2 linked regions of the Tamandua tetradactyla genome follow. The protein of the gene in region 1 purifies or fractionates together with the protein of each later gene. This does not show direct contact. Links are inferred from orthologs where the notes say so. Each region holds a gene or a part of one and is shown in the gene's direction. Other genes may lie near its edges.

Region 1 (7,137 bases):
CCTGTTTGGTATTCTTTGGCAAGAATTGGACCTTGTCTGATAGAAAAGGACCAATCCAATCATTCAGCAAACATTGACTGAGCACCATCTACTATGTGTTATATATTCTAAAGAAAGAGTGATGAATGAGACATGGTCCCTGCCCTCAGAGAGCTCATGGTCTAGTGGGAGAGACAGACAAGGAAGCAAATAATTATAATGCAGGGTGTTAAACTCAAGACGCAAATACTAGATGACAGGAGTAACATAGAATAGTGAGTGATTAACCAGTGATCTGGAAGTGGTGGGTAGGGGTGTCAAGTGAGAAAATTATGTTTGTTTGAAAAAGAGAAAGATTAGATTGTATATTTAAAAGAAAAAAAAAACAAGGCAGAGAATAGCCATAGGTAAGGAATGGTCCTTAGAGTAGTGGATAAAGAGGGAAATGTAATATATGTGGTAAAATTTCCCGCTTTCCCTCCAGAGCTAACTTTTAGCCATCCTAATGATAATAAATTTGGCCTAAGAGTAAATAAGAAAAAAATTTCTGGGCAGGCCACAGTGGCTCAGCAGGCAGGAATGCTTGCCTACGATGCTGGAGGACCCAGGTTCAATTCCCGGTGCCTATCCATGTTAAAAAAAAAAAGAAAAAAATTTCTCACTCTAAATGATGATTGGCAGTATGACCTTATCTTCTCTGGGTGTGTTTCTTAGAAAAATGGCAATAAGAATTGTTTGGATCTTTTATAGCCAATATACACATAGCACAACACACGTCTCATTCATAGACAGTAGATATTTTGGAGCAAGTTTGAGAGGAACTTTGGATTTTAGAAGTGAAGGTGTTTGGGGGCAAAGGTTACAAAGTCACAGTCACAGCTTTGGAAGTATCTTTACTCTTACACCTGAACAAATGTTTTAAGTCAAGAGAAAATGGTGAGGTAGAGGTCTAAGAGTTAAGGTGGCTAGTCTTCATTGGTTTCAGCCATTCAACACATATTTACTGTGTCTGCCTGCTCTGTACTAAACTACTATGTAGTAGGGACTAGGGATATCAGGGCTAAGGAGAGATGTGGGCCCTGCCTTTCTGGAGCTTACAGTCTAATAGAGCAGGCAGACACTGGGCCAACATACATAGAAACAAATGCATAAATGCTAATTATGATCAGTTTTCTGATAAAAATAAGAGAGAAAGCTGTGTAAGAGAGAGTAACAGGGAGTCTAATTCAGTTTGGAGAGTAGTTTAGGAAGATTTTCCTGAAGAAGTGACTTTTTTGAGCTGAGACTTACAGGGTGAGTCAGATTTGTCTGATGGAGGTAGGGGGAAAAGGGAGTATAGCTTTCTAGACAGAGACCTGAAACTCACACTTTAAAAGCAAGAAACAAAAGTATAACCCATAGCAAGGCTCCTTCTTTGTAATTTATTTTCCACTTTCAGATTGTGACCCTTACTGTTCATGTTAATTTAATAAAAATGTGGTTTTGTCTATCACCCACACTCCCCCAACTCTACTATAGCCTTCCCTCCTAGGCCCTGTAGCCAAGCATTCAAAAATGTAAGGAGGCTGTCTCAATCCATGTGAATCTACCTTATTTATTTTCTGTAAAATGAGAATCATAATTTCACTATCAGTATTTTAGTAGGATTAAATGAATGAAAGCTCTTTAGAATAGTATTTGGTACATGGTAACTCAATAAATGTCAACATATTATTTTAGTGCATGCATGTGCTATAATTTATTTATGGAGTTTGCTACTGATGGGCCAGTATGTTGTTTTCAATCTTTTGCTATCACAAAACATGGCTACAGTTGAACAGGATGACAGTACCATACTTGATTTCATTGGCCTGAAGTTAAGGGCAGGCCAGGTAGACTCCTTTGTCCTCTGGCTCTGAAATTTGCCACTCAGAGTGAATCCAACCAGCCAGCCAGCTAGCCAGCTTTGCCTTGAACTTGGTTTTGTTACCCATATCTCCATCAAAAGCTTCCAAGCATTAGCCTATTAGGGGTGTGATAGGCAACAGTTCCAGAGAACTGTTCCCTTACACACCCGCACGCCCACACACAGCTGTGCCTTTGAAAACACTGCTGAGTTCTCTCTCCCAACCCACTCAGTTAAAACTCTCCCTTTGTTAGTTCTCCTCTCTGAATCCCAGGCCTGGGAGTTGAACTTCTAGCTCAATATGAATTAATTAGCTGCATGACTTTGGATAAATCACTGATACTGGTGTCCTGGGGATCACTGGGCAAAGTAAGTACAAAAGTGTAAATATTGGGTTGAGAGACTCCATTCTCGCCTGTCTCCACTCAATGGTTTGCATTATTCAGGTCCTGCCATTTCTTACTCAAACTTAATCCTAGAACCATTTGCTGCCTGCTTAGGGGAAAAAGCTGTATTTGTTTAAAGTTACTATTGTTTTGAAAGTATACATCTGCATGCAATATTTAAACACATACACACAAGTAAGCCAAGTTAGAAGCCAATATAGTATTACCTTGAGGAGGGGCATACGGGGGCTTTGGCGTGTTGGTAATGTTCTATTTCTTGATCTGGGTGCTGGTTACATGTGTGTGTTTAATTTATGAAAATTCACCAAGCTGTACATGTTTGCTCTTTTCTGCATGTATATCATACTTCAATAAAAAGGAAAAAACAAACAAAATAAAACAAAAACAACCCAATAACCTTAAAATGTACAAAAGAGCATATGTGGAAAAGTCTCCCTCTCCTTTTCCCTGGACACACAGTTACACAGTTCCCCTCCTGTGAGGCAACCACTGTTACCTTTCTTGTGTATCCCTTCAAAGCTTTTCTGCATATAAATGAGTTTATGAATACATAGTCATTTTTTCTTTAGACAAATGACAGTATATTATGCACACTGTTCTGGGTCTGCCTTTTTTCACTTCATGATATAGCACAGGGATCATACCATATCCTTAGATAGGGAAGAGAGAGAACACTGTCAGGTTCGTTGTTGGAACTGCAGTGCATAACCCAGTGCTTGGCATATAAATATACTTGCTAAATAAAATAGACTCTTCCAGAGGAGTGGCTGGTTGCAATTCTGAAGCTGTAACTTCTCTATGGTATGATGAACTGAACCCAGAGTCAGCTTTACTGATGCAAAGGAGAAAATACCATACCTAAGATAAAAACATATGGAAGAACCAGGGGTTTCTTCTCTGCATCTCAGCTCACCTAGGTCAGCCAGAAGTTCCTATTGCACTGATGCAGAAAGAGGTGAGGTGAGAGGGTGCTTTTAAGGTACTAGACCCAACATCAGGACGAGAGCATTCTCCTCTTCTGTAGGACTGTCTCGGCAGGTTCCAGAGACCCAAGATCTGAAACAACAATGCTGGATGGGTTCAGTCCTTGGGACTGACTAGCTGCGGCATTCACTTTTTCATTGTCCTTTTTGGAATATTTACCTTTGGTCTGGAATGAAGCAAAATCATTCCAGACCCAGCCCTGCCTTCCCTGTGCCCTCCCAGCTATCCCAAGCTGATCCCAAGACCGTACCCTGTAATCCTGAACACTGTAAAACCCCCCAACTTTTTGTGGCATTTGCCTGGATAGAAGAAATCAAAGGTTTGCAAAGGCTGCATGATTCCTGAATGAGATTTGAAGTCGGATGCTATTTTTATGAGGGGCTAAAATTAGCTAGACTGATGATGGATTACAGGATATATCCAGTAAGGAGTGAGATGGAGCTGCGATTAGCTGCGCTTATTCTTTCCACCTGAGCATCATGACCCCTAAGCAACCTTTACAGGGTCTTTCAGTCTGCAAGTGGCGTGGAAACAGATGTAGGTACCTCACAGGTAGGTGGAAGCCGCAAGTTAATAACAGCCCAAGGTGTCGGTCACCAGATAATTCGGATGTATTCAGTTCCTCCTCTAAAGAATTTAACTTCGTATAAATCCCACATTTCTTCCTATTCCTCTCTCTTGCAGACCAAAGTCTCCTTTCCTTTAGGCCCGCAGCCCCTCTCCTGCACCGAGTTCCTCTTGTTTTCCCCTTCCCCTGGCGCCTCTCCTTCTCCTCCCTCGTCCCCGGGCTCGTCTCTTCCCCTTCCCCCCTCCTCGGGCTCCCCTTCTCCTCCTCCCCCTCCCTGGGCTCCTCTATGTCTCCCCCTCCCGGACGGCGTCCTTGCACCGCCGGGCCTCGTCGCCGCCTGTTTGTGAATGAGACGCTCAGTTTCTCAATGGAGCCGCGGGGGGCTCGGGCGGTCGCGGTGCGGCCTCAGCGTTGGCCGTGAGCCGGGAGGGGGGCGCGTTTTCCTCCGTCGCTCCCAGTGGTTACCTCCGCAGCTTCTGAGGAACGAGGTTGAGAGGCGGCCGCGCTGGTCGCGGGGGCCCGCATCTCCGAGGACGCCCGGACCGGCGGCCTCCAGGCTCCGTCACGTTCTGGAGGAGCGGACGTTCCGCGGAGGAAGCGGGGCCCCGAGAAGGCCGGCGGCCTTTGCGAAATTTCCGCCGCGGACCCTTAGCTCTGCTCCTTAAAAGTTATTTCCCAATTCCTTTTTAAATCGCGATTGACTACAATCTCCTCGCCTACACTTCTTTTTTTTTTTTTCTGGGAGAGGAGTGTAAGGAAAAGAGCGAAGAAAATAAAAAAAGGATTTCCGCCCAGGAGAGCGCGAGAGATCTGAGACATTTTTCTTAAAAGAAGCGGCGTTTGCGGTGGCTGCGGGCGCCGGGGCCCCGCCGTCCGGACCATGAGCGAGCCGGCCTCGGGCTGCTGAGGCGCGGGGACGCGGAAGCGGAGAAGGAGGACGCCCCGCGCTCCCGGGCGAGTTCTGTCGGCCGGGCGGCTGCGGCGGCGGCGGCTGGATGGAGCCTGCGACCGCGCCCCGGCCGGACATGGCGCCGGAGCTGACCCCGGAGGAGGAGCAGGTAAGCGGGACTGCAGCAGCGGTGGTGGGTGTGTCCGGGCCCCCTAGGCCTAGGCCGGCCCAGCCTCCTGAAGCCAAGCTCTGTGGCAGCGGCTCAGGCCCCGCAGCGCCCCCGCTCCCGCGCTGGGCGCATGGGGTGGTCTTTCCCCCGGCGACCGCACCCTAGGTCGTCATCCACCGAAACGGAGGGGCGCCGCTGGATCTTGCCCCAGACCCCTGCCTTGTCTACCCCCGAGGCTTACGGGCCTCATTTACCCTCACCGCCCCCCTCACTCCCATCCCGGTGGTAATTAAAGTTCCTTGAACTGGGGCGCCTCCCTTTCCCTCTGCTTTCTCCTCCCCACCCCCGCCCTATACGTTTGCTAGGAAGAGCCGGTAACTCCCTTTGCAGAACACCTCCTTGCTCCCGACCCTTCCACGCCCCATGAATGTTTTCCTTCTTTCCGTCAGGGTTTATGGTTTTTTGAGGGCAGAAAAAGCCCCAGTTTGGGGGGAGGGTGTCCTCTGGAGATTATTTCCTTTTCCGAGGAGAGTGATGATAGGCATTGATTGGGTACATAGATGCTCTAGATTTTCAAATAAGCTCCTCAGGCTTTCTCAGAGGGCTGTGGCAGGCCTTCCCGGTCAGATCCTGGAAGATCCTGGCCTTCCTAGGCTCCTGAAGGCCCTGGCCCGGGCACATCCCCTCATCCCACTTTTCTGCTGTTATTTCGAAATATCTTGACTGCCTCCATCTTTCTGAAGCCTGCATTGAGCTCCATTGTCCCTTAAAGCTTATGACCTTCAGTCCCCATAAGGAAGTGGTTTGGTGGTATCATTTTGCGGGCTTGGGTAAAGGAAAAGCCCAGGACCCTTTTAACTTTCCATCCCCCACATTCCAGCTGTGGAGACACAGATCACTCCTTCTGAAGAAGATAGGAAAGTCTGTTAGCTTGGGAACCTTAAAGGCTTTTTGCGGTATCTTCTTTGGGCCTGCTCGTACCCAGCTTTAGCTATGCACAAATATAGCCATAGTATGAAACAAAAAACATATTAAAAAACAAAAAAGCAACAAAAAATAAAAAGATGAACCAGACTAGTAACCAGTTTTGTGCTCTCCAGCCCTTACTCCCAAGGACCGCATTTGCTAGCACAATCTCTGGCATGGAGACCATCTGGTTTTACAAACTAATATTGGTTAATGGGCTTCTTTAAGATTTGCTTTATGTATATATAAAACCTTGACTTTTCTTCTTATTTGTGGAGATGACATTTTTCATATCTGGCCTCAGATCTTGCCTTTTGATCAGCCTGGAGATAAAATCAGCATGGGGAAAAAACAACAACCTTGCTCTATGCAAGCAGTGGTAACATCCTGATAACTGCAGTTGAGTGTTAATGACATACTAGTCAGGACCCACTGCAAGCAGGTGGTCTGGGATACCATCCTGCCAGAACTATTGAAATACTTCAGTATTAACACATAATGTGTTAGGTTGATTTTAATGGGGCAAATCTCATTCATCTTTTTTTTTCTTGGGTTAGTTAGGTTTGAAGTTTCTTTGTGGCTAAGACTTAAAGGTAGCAGTATCCTTCAGTGAAAGTGGCATTAGGTTGCAAATTAAAATATTAAAACCAGAAAAGTAAATATCAAAATATGGATGAAGATATTAACTTGGCTTTACTCTGTTTTTAGCCTGTATACTTATATACACTTCTGTTATTTAATAAAATCCTTTCGCATTCGAATGCGTGCAATAGGCATTAAAAAGGACTGCATTAAAATAGTGAAATATTTATATATTAAGGTCAAGAGGTTGTGTGTGTGTGTATGAGTGTGTTTGAATCTTACCTTTTGTTTTCTACAAAAGGCCAGGTTTCTACAAGCATTTCAAAATGATGACACACAAATATAAAAGCAGCATAGTTCTGATAATGGTAAGGCCTCATGTTCTCATCTTTTAGTTTAATATCACATAACTATTAAGATTCCATTAAAATATTTAAGCTAAACAGCAAATATGTGTTAGCCTCATCAAAGTAGTCATCATGGGAAATGATACTGTCATTCCATAATGCTGCCCCATTTCTCAAACAATTTTAGAACTCATTTGTAGTCACTTTCAAAACTTGTGACAGAGTCTGAAACATTTTCAGTGTTGGAAAGTCCTTGTACTTTTAAGAGTCAATTTTATTTTTGGAAATAGCAAAAAATCTTTTGAAATCTTATTTCATAAATAAGGTGGGCTATCAGACAGTTTCAGGCAAAACTGAAATG
Region 2 (7,561 bases), on another chromosome or scaffold:
CAGCCTGAGAGAGCTCAGCTGCTGGGGGACCCCCTTGCTGACCCCTGGGGAGGGTTGTCCCATCTCAGTCCCAAGACCCTGAGCTGTAAAGGTAAAGAGGTGGAGAATGTGGTGACCATCAGGACACCTGAGGATGCCAATCGTGTGGGCAGGCTGGCTCGGGACCGGAACGCAGTCGTCGTGGGTGCTGGCTTCCTGGGTGGGTGGCATCGCGGGATGGAGGCGGGGGTGGGGAAAGAGATTGCCAGCCCTGGAGGTGCAGGGTGCCAGCCCCCCCCACACTCCCTGCTGTCCCTTTGCCGCTCCCCCAACCCCCCCAGGAATGGAGGTGGCCTCCTACCTGACAGAGAAGGCGCACTCGGTGTCTGTGGTGGAACTGGAGGAGACACCTTTCAAGAGGTTTTTGGGGGAGCGTGTGGGGCGCGCCCTCATGAAGGTGAGCCCCAACACCCCCTCCCCCCTGCCCAGCTCCTAGGCCCCTTGGATCCCCCCACCCTCACCCCCATGCCCAGCCCCTGGCCCACCTGCCCCCACCTGGCAGATGTTCGAGAACAACCGGGTGAAGTTCTACATGCAGACAGAGGTGTCTGAGCTGCGGGCCCACGAGGGGAAGGTGGGTCCCTGCCACCCGCGTCCCATCATGCCCCCCCCTGCCAGCCACCCAGCTCTCACTGTCCCTTCTGCCCTGGGCCACCTGCTCACCCCACCTGCTGTCCCCAGCTGAAGGAAGTGATGCTAAAAAGCAACAAGATCATCCGGGCTGATGTGTGTGTGGTGGGCATTGGTGAGTGCGGGCTGGGTGGGGGGGGAGGAGTGGGACAGGCTCAGTGTCACCTCTATCAAATGGGGGGCATTTTCCGGTGCCCACTGCCCACTCGTGTCCTGCCCTGCCAAGGCGCCGTGCCTGCCACCAGCTTCCTGAGGCAGAGTGGCATCTGTCTGGACTCTCGGGGCTACATCCCCGTCAACAAGGTGGGTGCTGGGCTCTGCCCTGGGTAGGAGGTCCAGGCTGGGGCCCCTGACCCTGCCATGGAGCTCTGGGCCCTGTCTCCTGACACAGATGATGCAGACCAATGTCCCTGGCGTGTTTGCGGCTGGTGACGCCGTCACCTTCCCCCTGGCATGGAGAAACAACCGGAAAGTGAACATCCCACACTGGCAGATGGCTCACATGCAGGGTAGAGTATGGCTGGCCCTGGAGAAAAGGTGGTGGGTCCTAAGGGGCTTGGCTCAGGCCCCTGGGAAGTGGCCATTGGGAGCCGGTCACTAGAAGCTGTCGAGCACCCCCGAGGAAGAGCTTTCCCTGCCCCACACAAGCCCCCCCCCAAGCCACACCTGCCATGTGCACCTGCAGGGGTCCCTTAAGATGCAAGTGCCAGCAAGTTAGCCATCTCACTGCCTCATAGGGAGGACCCCAAGACTCCCTTCCACCCCTGGGACAGGGGACTCCACCCTGCACCCACCTCTTCTTCCCTCTGTCTTGACATTTTTGGAGTATCGGCTGCCAGGAACCCCACTCCTGGTACCAGTTCTGTCTGAGTCCGAGATCTATGGCCAGGTTGGAAGGAAATAGAGGCTACTCATCAGTCATGCATCATAAGGGTTTTCCTGGGAGGCTTATGGAACTGTCAACAGAGCACCCCTGCAGAAGCGGGGCAGCCACCCATGGCCACTCTCTCTGGGGCCCTCGGTGCTGTTATCTGTCCCCCTCTTCAAGCCTGACATGGCTGGTTGGTCAGGTACACAGTAGACAGGACCCCAGGGCACCTCAATTCAGATTCTCCATGCAGGGAAGGAATGGAATGGGTTAGCTTTGAGCCAGGTGCCCCCTCCCAGCTGCAACAGTGGGTGGGCAGTGAGCTGAGCCACAATGGGGGGGAGAGAGAGCTGTGGGGGCGCTCAGGTCAGGCAGTGGTGGAGGGGGAGGAGGGAAAGTGAGGCTGGGGGGCATCTCATGGGCCTGGATCCCCCAGGTCGTGTGGCAGCCCAGAACATGCTGGCACAGGAGGCAGAGATCAGTACTGTCCCCTACCTCTGGACGGCCATGTTCGGCAAGAGCCTGCGCTACACAGGTGACCGAGGGCCTGGGGGTGGGGCTTGGGCATTGAGGGCGGAGCCTAGGACCTGGAGGTGGGGCTGAGGATCTGGGGGTGGGGTCACGACAGAACTAGCAAACACCAGCTAGGACCGTGCTGGGGGTGGGGCCTGAGAGGGGGCGGGGCCCCGATCCTGAGAAGCCCCACCCCCTCCACGTGGCCCACAGGCTATGGGGAAGGCTTCGATGACGTCATCATCCAGGGGGACCTGGAGGAGCTGAAGTTCGTGGCCTTTTACACCAAGTGAGTGCAACGGACGGGAGATGGGTCAGGAAGGGGGGCCTCCTCCGGGACAAGGTGTGCTCCAGAAGTGGGGGGTTTACCCGGAAGGTGCAGCCCATGGCTGGAGCCAGGGGCAAAGGGGGTGGACATAAGTGAGGCAGGAGTCCTGCAGAAGGAAGGCCACGAGGCAGGGGTAATGGTTGCCTATAGCTATCTGGAGGCCCGGCACTCGACCTTCAGGACAGCTCTTCCAGGCAGGTGTTGACACCCCACCCCAAGTGACAGCAGGGAGAGAATGGTGACTCTAGGACAGGAGCCAGGCCCAGGAGGAAGCCAGGAGCCTCCATGGGGGTCCCAGGGGAGCCCTGAAGCAGGAGAGCTGCATGCTTGGAACATGCCCCTCCCTGGGCTCTGGGTGGACAAGGGTCAGTCAGGGTCCTTTGGGAACTGGAGGGGATGCTCGTGGGACAGTGCTCAGGTCCGGCCATTGTCTACCTACAGAGGCGATGAGGTCATTGCTGTGGCCAGCATGAACTATGACCCCATTGTGTCCAAGGTGGCCGAGGTGCTGGCTTCTGGCCGAGCCATCCGGAAGCGGGAGGTGGAGTGAGTATGGGCATGGAGGCCTTGGGGTGGGGAGAACAAGGGGGGCCCCGTCACAGCTCCCACGCCTCAGGGCAGGATGGGGCTATGGGGCATGGCTGTGGCTTGGGAGCCGAGCGGGAAATGTGCTCATGGGGGAGATGTGGAAAAGGGAGGGCTGTGTCCCAGGGCAGAGCCAGGGCTCTGGGATGGGACAAGGCCCATTTCTTGGACTGTCATCTGTCCTGGGACCCATGGCAGACTCTGGACACCAGCCACTACCCCTCCCCACATCTCTAGCACAATGCAGATAGGAATCAACCTGTGCCTTCTGAGAAGCCCCAGGGACTGGGGAAAGCTTGAAGTGGGGGGAGGATAGGGGCCACTGGGCAGGGATGAGGGGCGTGGGGGTGTATGGCCTGAGCTTGGAAATGAGAACCAAGAGGGGATGCAATGAATGACATCCCCTCTTCCTGGCCTTCTCTCTCTCTTCCTCTTGCCTTCACGAAGGCTGTTTGTGCTGCACAGCAAGTACGTTTGTCTTTCTTTGTCCTTTCTGTTGAGGGTTCTGAGCCTTCCCGGAGGGGGTTCTGGTCTACCTTCTCTGTCCAAGTACACACCTCTGCTGGGCACCAGGCCTGGCATGGAGCAGGCCCCAGGCTGTCTTCAAGGGCCAGCTACTTGTGGTGCCCAAAGTGGGAGACCCTCTCATTTTCTGCTCTCATTCCTCTTCCTTTTGTTCCTGCAGGACCGGCGACATGTCCTGGCTCACGGGGAAGGGCTCCTGAGCTCGCATGCAGGAGACTTGGGCAGGAGGGCCGGGGTTCGGGGGACAGAAGCCAAGTCCTGGGGAAGGTGCCAACTTCCCAATTTCCCAGGATCTCCCAGGACAGAACTCGATCCCTTCCATCGCTTGCCTTCCCCTTGCCTAGTCTCTGCTGTCCAGAGATGCCCTGGCTCTCCTCTGCTGGCCTCTGCTGCCACAGATGGCTGGCACAGGAGTTGGGACAGGGCCTGCCTCTTCTCCCTCTCTTGGGTCTGGTCCCCTCCGGGACCTTTTGACGTCTCAGATATTACGTTAAAATAAAAAATGCACACATTTGCAGATCTGTGTGACCCCCAGTGTGATTGGGGAAACACTCATGGGGGAAGAAGCGGACATGGCTCTCCACGGGAAGACACAGGCACACCCCCAGACTTCTCAGTGCCTCACCAAAGAAGTTTGGCTTGAGGGGCGCCCAGAGGAGCTAGCAACTGATTCTGCCTGCGGGGTCAGGAAAAGCTTCTCCCAAAGAGTGGAGATTTTTGAAGGAAGGTCAGTCCAGGCAGAGGGGAGTGCCGAGGGCTCAAGAAAGGAAATGCTTCTTCAGAGGTCAGAGGGAGACTCATGTCTGGCAGTTTGGGGGGCACCTGCCACCTAGGGCTGCAGGAACTGATCCTGGGACAGATTCCGTTTTCTGGGACCCTGCCAGTAGATGGCAGAGGAAGAATGGGAATCCAGAGGCCCTGCTCTTTTCGCTGCTCCATGCTGCCCCCGAGCCAACGAGAACACAAAGGGGAGACCACGGGGCCGGGGGGGCCGCTGTGAGGCCGGAACCTTCCCTCCGGGATGCCGGGAGCGGCGGAAGGTCTAGGGCGTGGGACACCGGAAACTGCAGACCCTCCGCGGCGGGGGCCTGGCGGGCTCCGGGGAAGTGTAGGCACACAGGGCTGGCGGCGGAGGCTCCGCGTTCACTAGAAGCGGGTCTCGGGCGCCCGTACTTCGCCGGAAGGCTGCCGCACACGGTCGCAGGGAAGACCCGGCCGCAGCCCAGTGCCGCGCCCGTCCGTGGTGTCCAAGCCCAGCTAGGCCTGTCCGGAAGTGCGGTAGCGCCGGCCGGAAGTGTCGCGCCGTGGGCGCAGGGCGAGCCGGAAAATGTAGTCCCGTCGAGTGGACCCGGGCGGTGGCCGCACATCCCGCCGACCCGGGATGGCTGGGCCCGGCGTCTCGGGGGTCCCGATCGGGACCGGGGCCCTGGCCGGCGGCGCGCGGTCCAAGGTGGCCCCGAGCGTGGACTTCGATCACAGCTGCTCCGACAGCGTGGAGTACCTGACGCTCAACTTCGGGCCTTTTGAGACAGTGCATCGCTGGCGGCGCCTCCCGCCCTGCGACGAGTTCGTGGGCGCTCGGTACGGGCGGGATCAGGGGGGTCCTTGGGGGCGGACGGTGGTCTGAAGGGGTCGCAGGGGCGAGGCCTGGACCTGATGTCCCGGGGGGCAGGGTCTGGTCTTTGGGGGAGGGGTGGGGGAAGGGGGTCCAGGGCTGGGAGGGGACGCCGAGGGGGACCCCAGAACGAAGTGACCCCAGGGCAGGGTCCGACGGCGCAGGCTTCGGGGTGTCTGGTCTGGGACCCTGGGTGATCTGCGGCAGGGTGGGGAGGTCCAGGGAGCCCCTTACATTTGGGGGTGCAGGTGGAATTTAGGGTCCTCAGTAGGTGTAGGAAGGTGAGAGGGGTTACCCCACTTTGGGAGCAGGCTTCTAGCTTGGTCTCATCCTTTGGATGCTCCCCCCTCCAGGAGGGTCCGACTTTACGATCCCCCCCCACTCCCACCCCATCTTTTCTTCCAGGCGCAGCAAGCACACAGTGGTGGCTTATAAAGATGCCATCTACGTATTTGGTGGAGACAATGGGTGAGGACGTGTGGGGACCACTGCGGGGGGTGCATGGTGGTCAGGGATGAGCTCCTGTCTTTTGGGGTTCAGCTAAGGCTCAACTCCCCATCTGTGATGCCCCGCCTCCCAGATCCTGGTGAGAATAAAATGAGAGCCTGTCCCTAGGCCAGCAACACACATGCAGTAGGGATACAGGCTCAGTACACAGAAATGTCCCCTTGTTCTGGGCGAGTAGACACAGCTTTGAAAGGACCATGTAGGCCCTTGCTGTCACCTCCCCACCAGGTAGTTTTCCTTCCCTGCCCTCCCTCTGGGACTTGCCCAGCAGCACATGTTGCAGCTGAGAAGGCACAGAGGACACGGCTTTATTTCCTGCATTTTTCACTTTCGGTGAGGATCTTCCTACGTTGTTATAAACTCCCGGCAAGTAGCCTTCCTGGCAGTGATCTGAGGTCCTGTTGGTGGGACACCTCTGCACCCCTCCTACAATGCGGCCAGTTTTCCTTAGTAAACGATCACAGCAAAGGGAAATCTTTGCCTTATGTAGCCACTGCCTACCTCGGGAGCTGGACCTTTGAAGAGAGAGGAGCTTGTCTCAGCGTGTGCTGGGCCATGTCACTTACTGGGTGGGGGTGCTGTTCTGGGCAAGGGAAGTAGAGTTCTGATTTGGTTAGGGAAATCTTACCAGAAGGGATGATGACCTGAAAAATTAGTAGGCAGGCTACTAAGTTTTAGGAGGCAGGCAAAGGAGGGAAGGGACTTCCAGGCAGAGAGAGGATAGGTCAGGAACAGTGTGGCAAGGCCCGATGACCACACAGGGCCTTCCCCCCTTCCCTAACTCATCCATTCATTCGTCGTGCTCAGGAGAAAAGCCCAAGGACACCAGGAATCTGGGCAAGGATGGGAGTCACCCAGAGGCGGGGCTGAAGCTTAGTCTGTTGGATGGGCAGGGCTCAGCTCAAATTAGAGCCTTGTGGCTTGGGGGTCAGGCAGGAAGCGTAACCACGCCAAGTGTGCTTTGGCTTCCTCTGTCTGTGGGGCGGTAGCTGTCCTGCTGACACCCCCAAGGGTCAGGGAGCATGTGGCCATGAGGCCCAGCACAGAGGAGGGAGAGTTTTTGCAGCCGATCCTGCCCTTGAGTCCTGCTCCCACCTTTCAGCCCCAGGACCTGATTGGCACTGCATGCCTAGGTCTTTCAGGGCTCCCCCAGGGAGCTGACTTGGGGGGCTCCTGGCTTCCACCCCATCTCCCCACATGAGCAGCAAGAGAGACCCGTTTAAAAATGCAAGCCACAGCGCATCCCTCCCCAGCTCACAACCCTGAGATACCTTCCTGCCTTCCTTGGAGTAAAAGCCAAAATCTTTGTAGCAATTCCTGAGGTCCTCTGCTCTTGCCTCTCTCACACATCCCTTTGCTGCACTGTAGCTGCACCAGCTGCCATACTGCGTTTTGATTGTGCCGAGCACCGTCCTGTCTGAGGCCTTTGCATTGGCTGTTCCCCTCTGCCTGGAATGCTTTTCCCTCAAGGTGTCCACCCGGCCTACCCCTGTCCCTCCTTCCCCTGCCCTCCTCTGTGCAGCTCAGGAGCAAGGCCTTGAATGGCCTCCCAGCCCCTTCCAACCCCTCCATCCTCCTTGCTGGAATGTCAGCTCCACCGACGCAGGGTGGTACTTTGTGCATGGCACCCCATGGCCCAGACGAGGAATAAATGATATTTCAGGGTCTGCAGGCATTTATTGGCACTTTAAGGAGAATCCCCCCCCCCAAACCATAGAAAGCTGCAGTGCCCACCCTGGGCAGTGGAAGTGGGGTACAGGGGTGCCAGTCCTTTAGACATTAGAGTTTTGTGCAAGGAGCAGAAACATGCTTGCTATAATGTGACACTCAGAAAAAAGGATACAAATGTATCTTTATTTTGAGCTGCAACTTTGTAAGGCTAGCTGGGTACAAAGGAAAATGGCCTGGGGGGTGTGGGGGCTGCAGGTGGGATCACCTAGCTGCCTGTCCT

The links. Proteins that work in one complex are often made in the same cells at the same time.
Region 2: the proteins of PTPN9 (region 1) and LZTR1 purify together in Homo sapiens (affinity purification with mass spectrometry; 3 studies listed by BioGRID and IntAct, with this or other methods). This does not show direct contact. The link is inferred for Tamandua tetradactyla from reciprocal best matches to the Homo sapiens genes PTPN9 and LZTR1.

What each region holds. Positions count from the first base shown.
Region 1 is NC_135338.1:66,378,016-66,385,152, forward strand, and holds the start of PTPN9 (tyrosine-protein phosphatase non-receptor type 9), read left to right. Parts: upstream 1-4,119; 5' UTR 4,120-4,818; coding exon 4,819-4,881; intron 4,882-7,137. UniProt on the Homo sapiens protein: Protein-tyrosine phosphatase that could participate in the transfer of hydrophobic ligands or in functions of the Golgi apparatus.
Region 2 is NC_135331.1:26,804,906-26,812,466, forward strand, and holds the start of LZTR1 (leucine-zipper-like transcriptional regulator 1), read left to right. Parts: upstream 1-4,557; 5' UTR 4,558-4,869; coding exon 4,870-5,069; intron 5,070-5,508; coding exon 5,509-5,571; intron 5,572-7,561. Other genes in the region: AIFM3 (apoptosis-inducing factor 3), read left to right, coding at 69-199, 321-436, 542-613, 721-784, 896-972, 1,061-1,178, 1,974-2,072, 2,264-2,339 and 2 more. UniProt on the Homo sapiens protein: Substrate-specific adapter of a BCR (BTB-CUL3-RBX1) E3 ubiquitin-protein ligase complex that mediates ubiquitination of Ras (K-Ras/KRAS, N-Ras/NRAS and H-Ras/HRAS).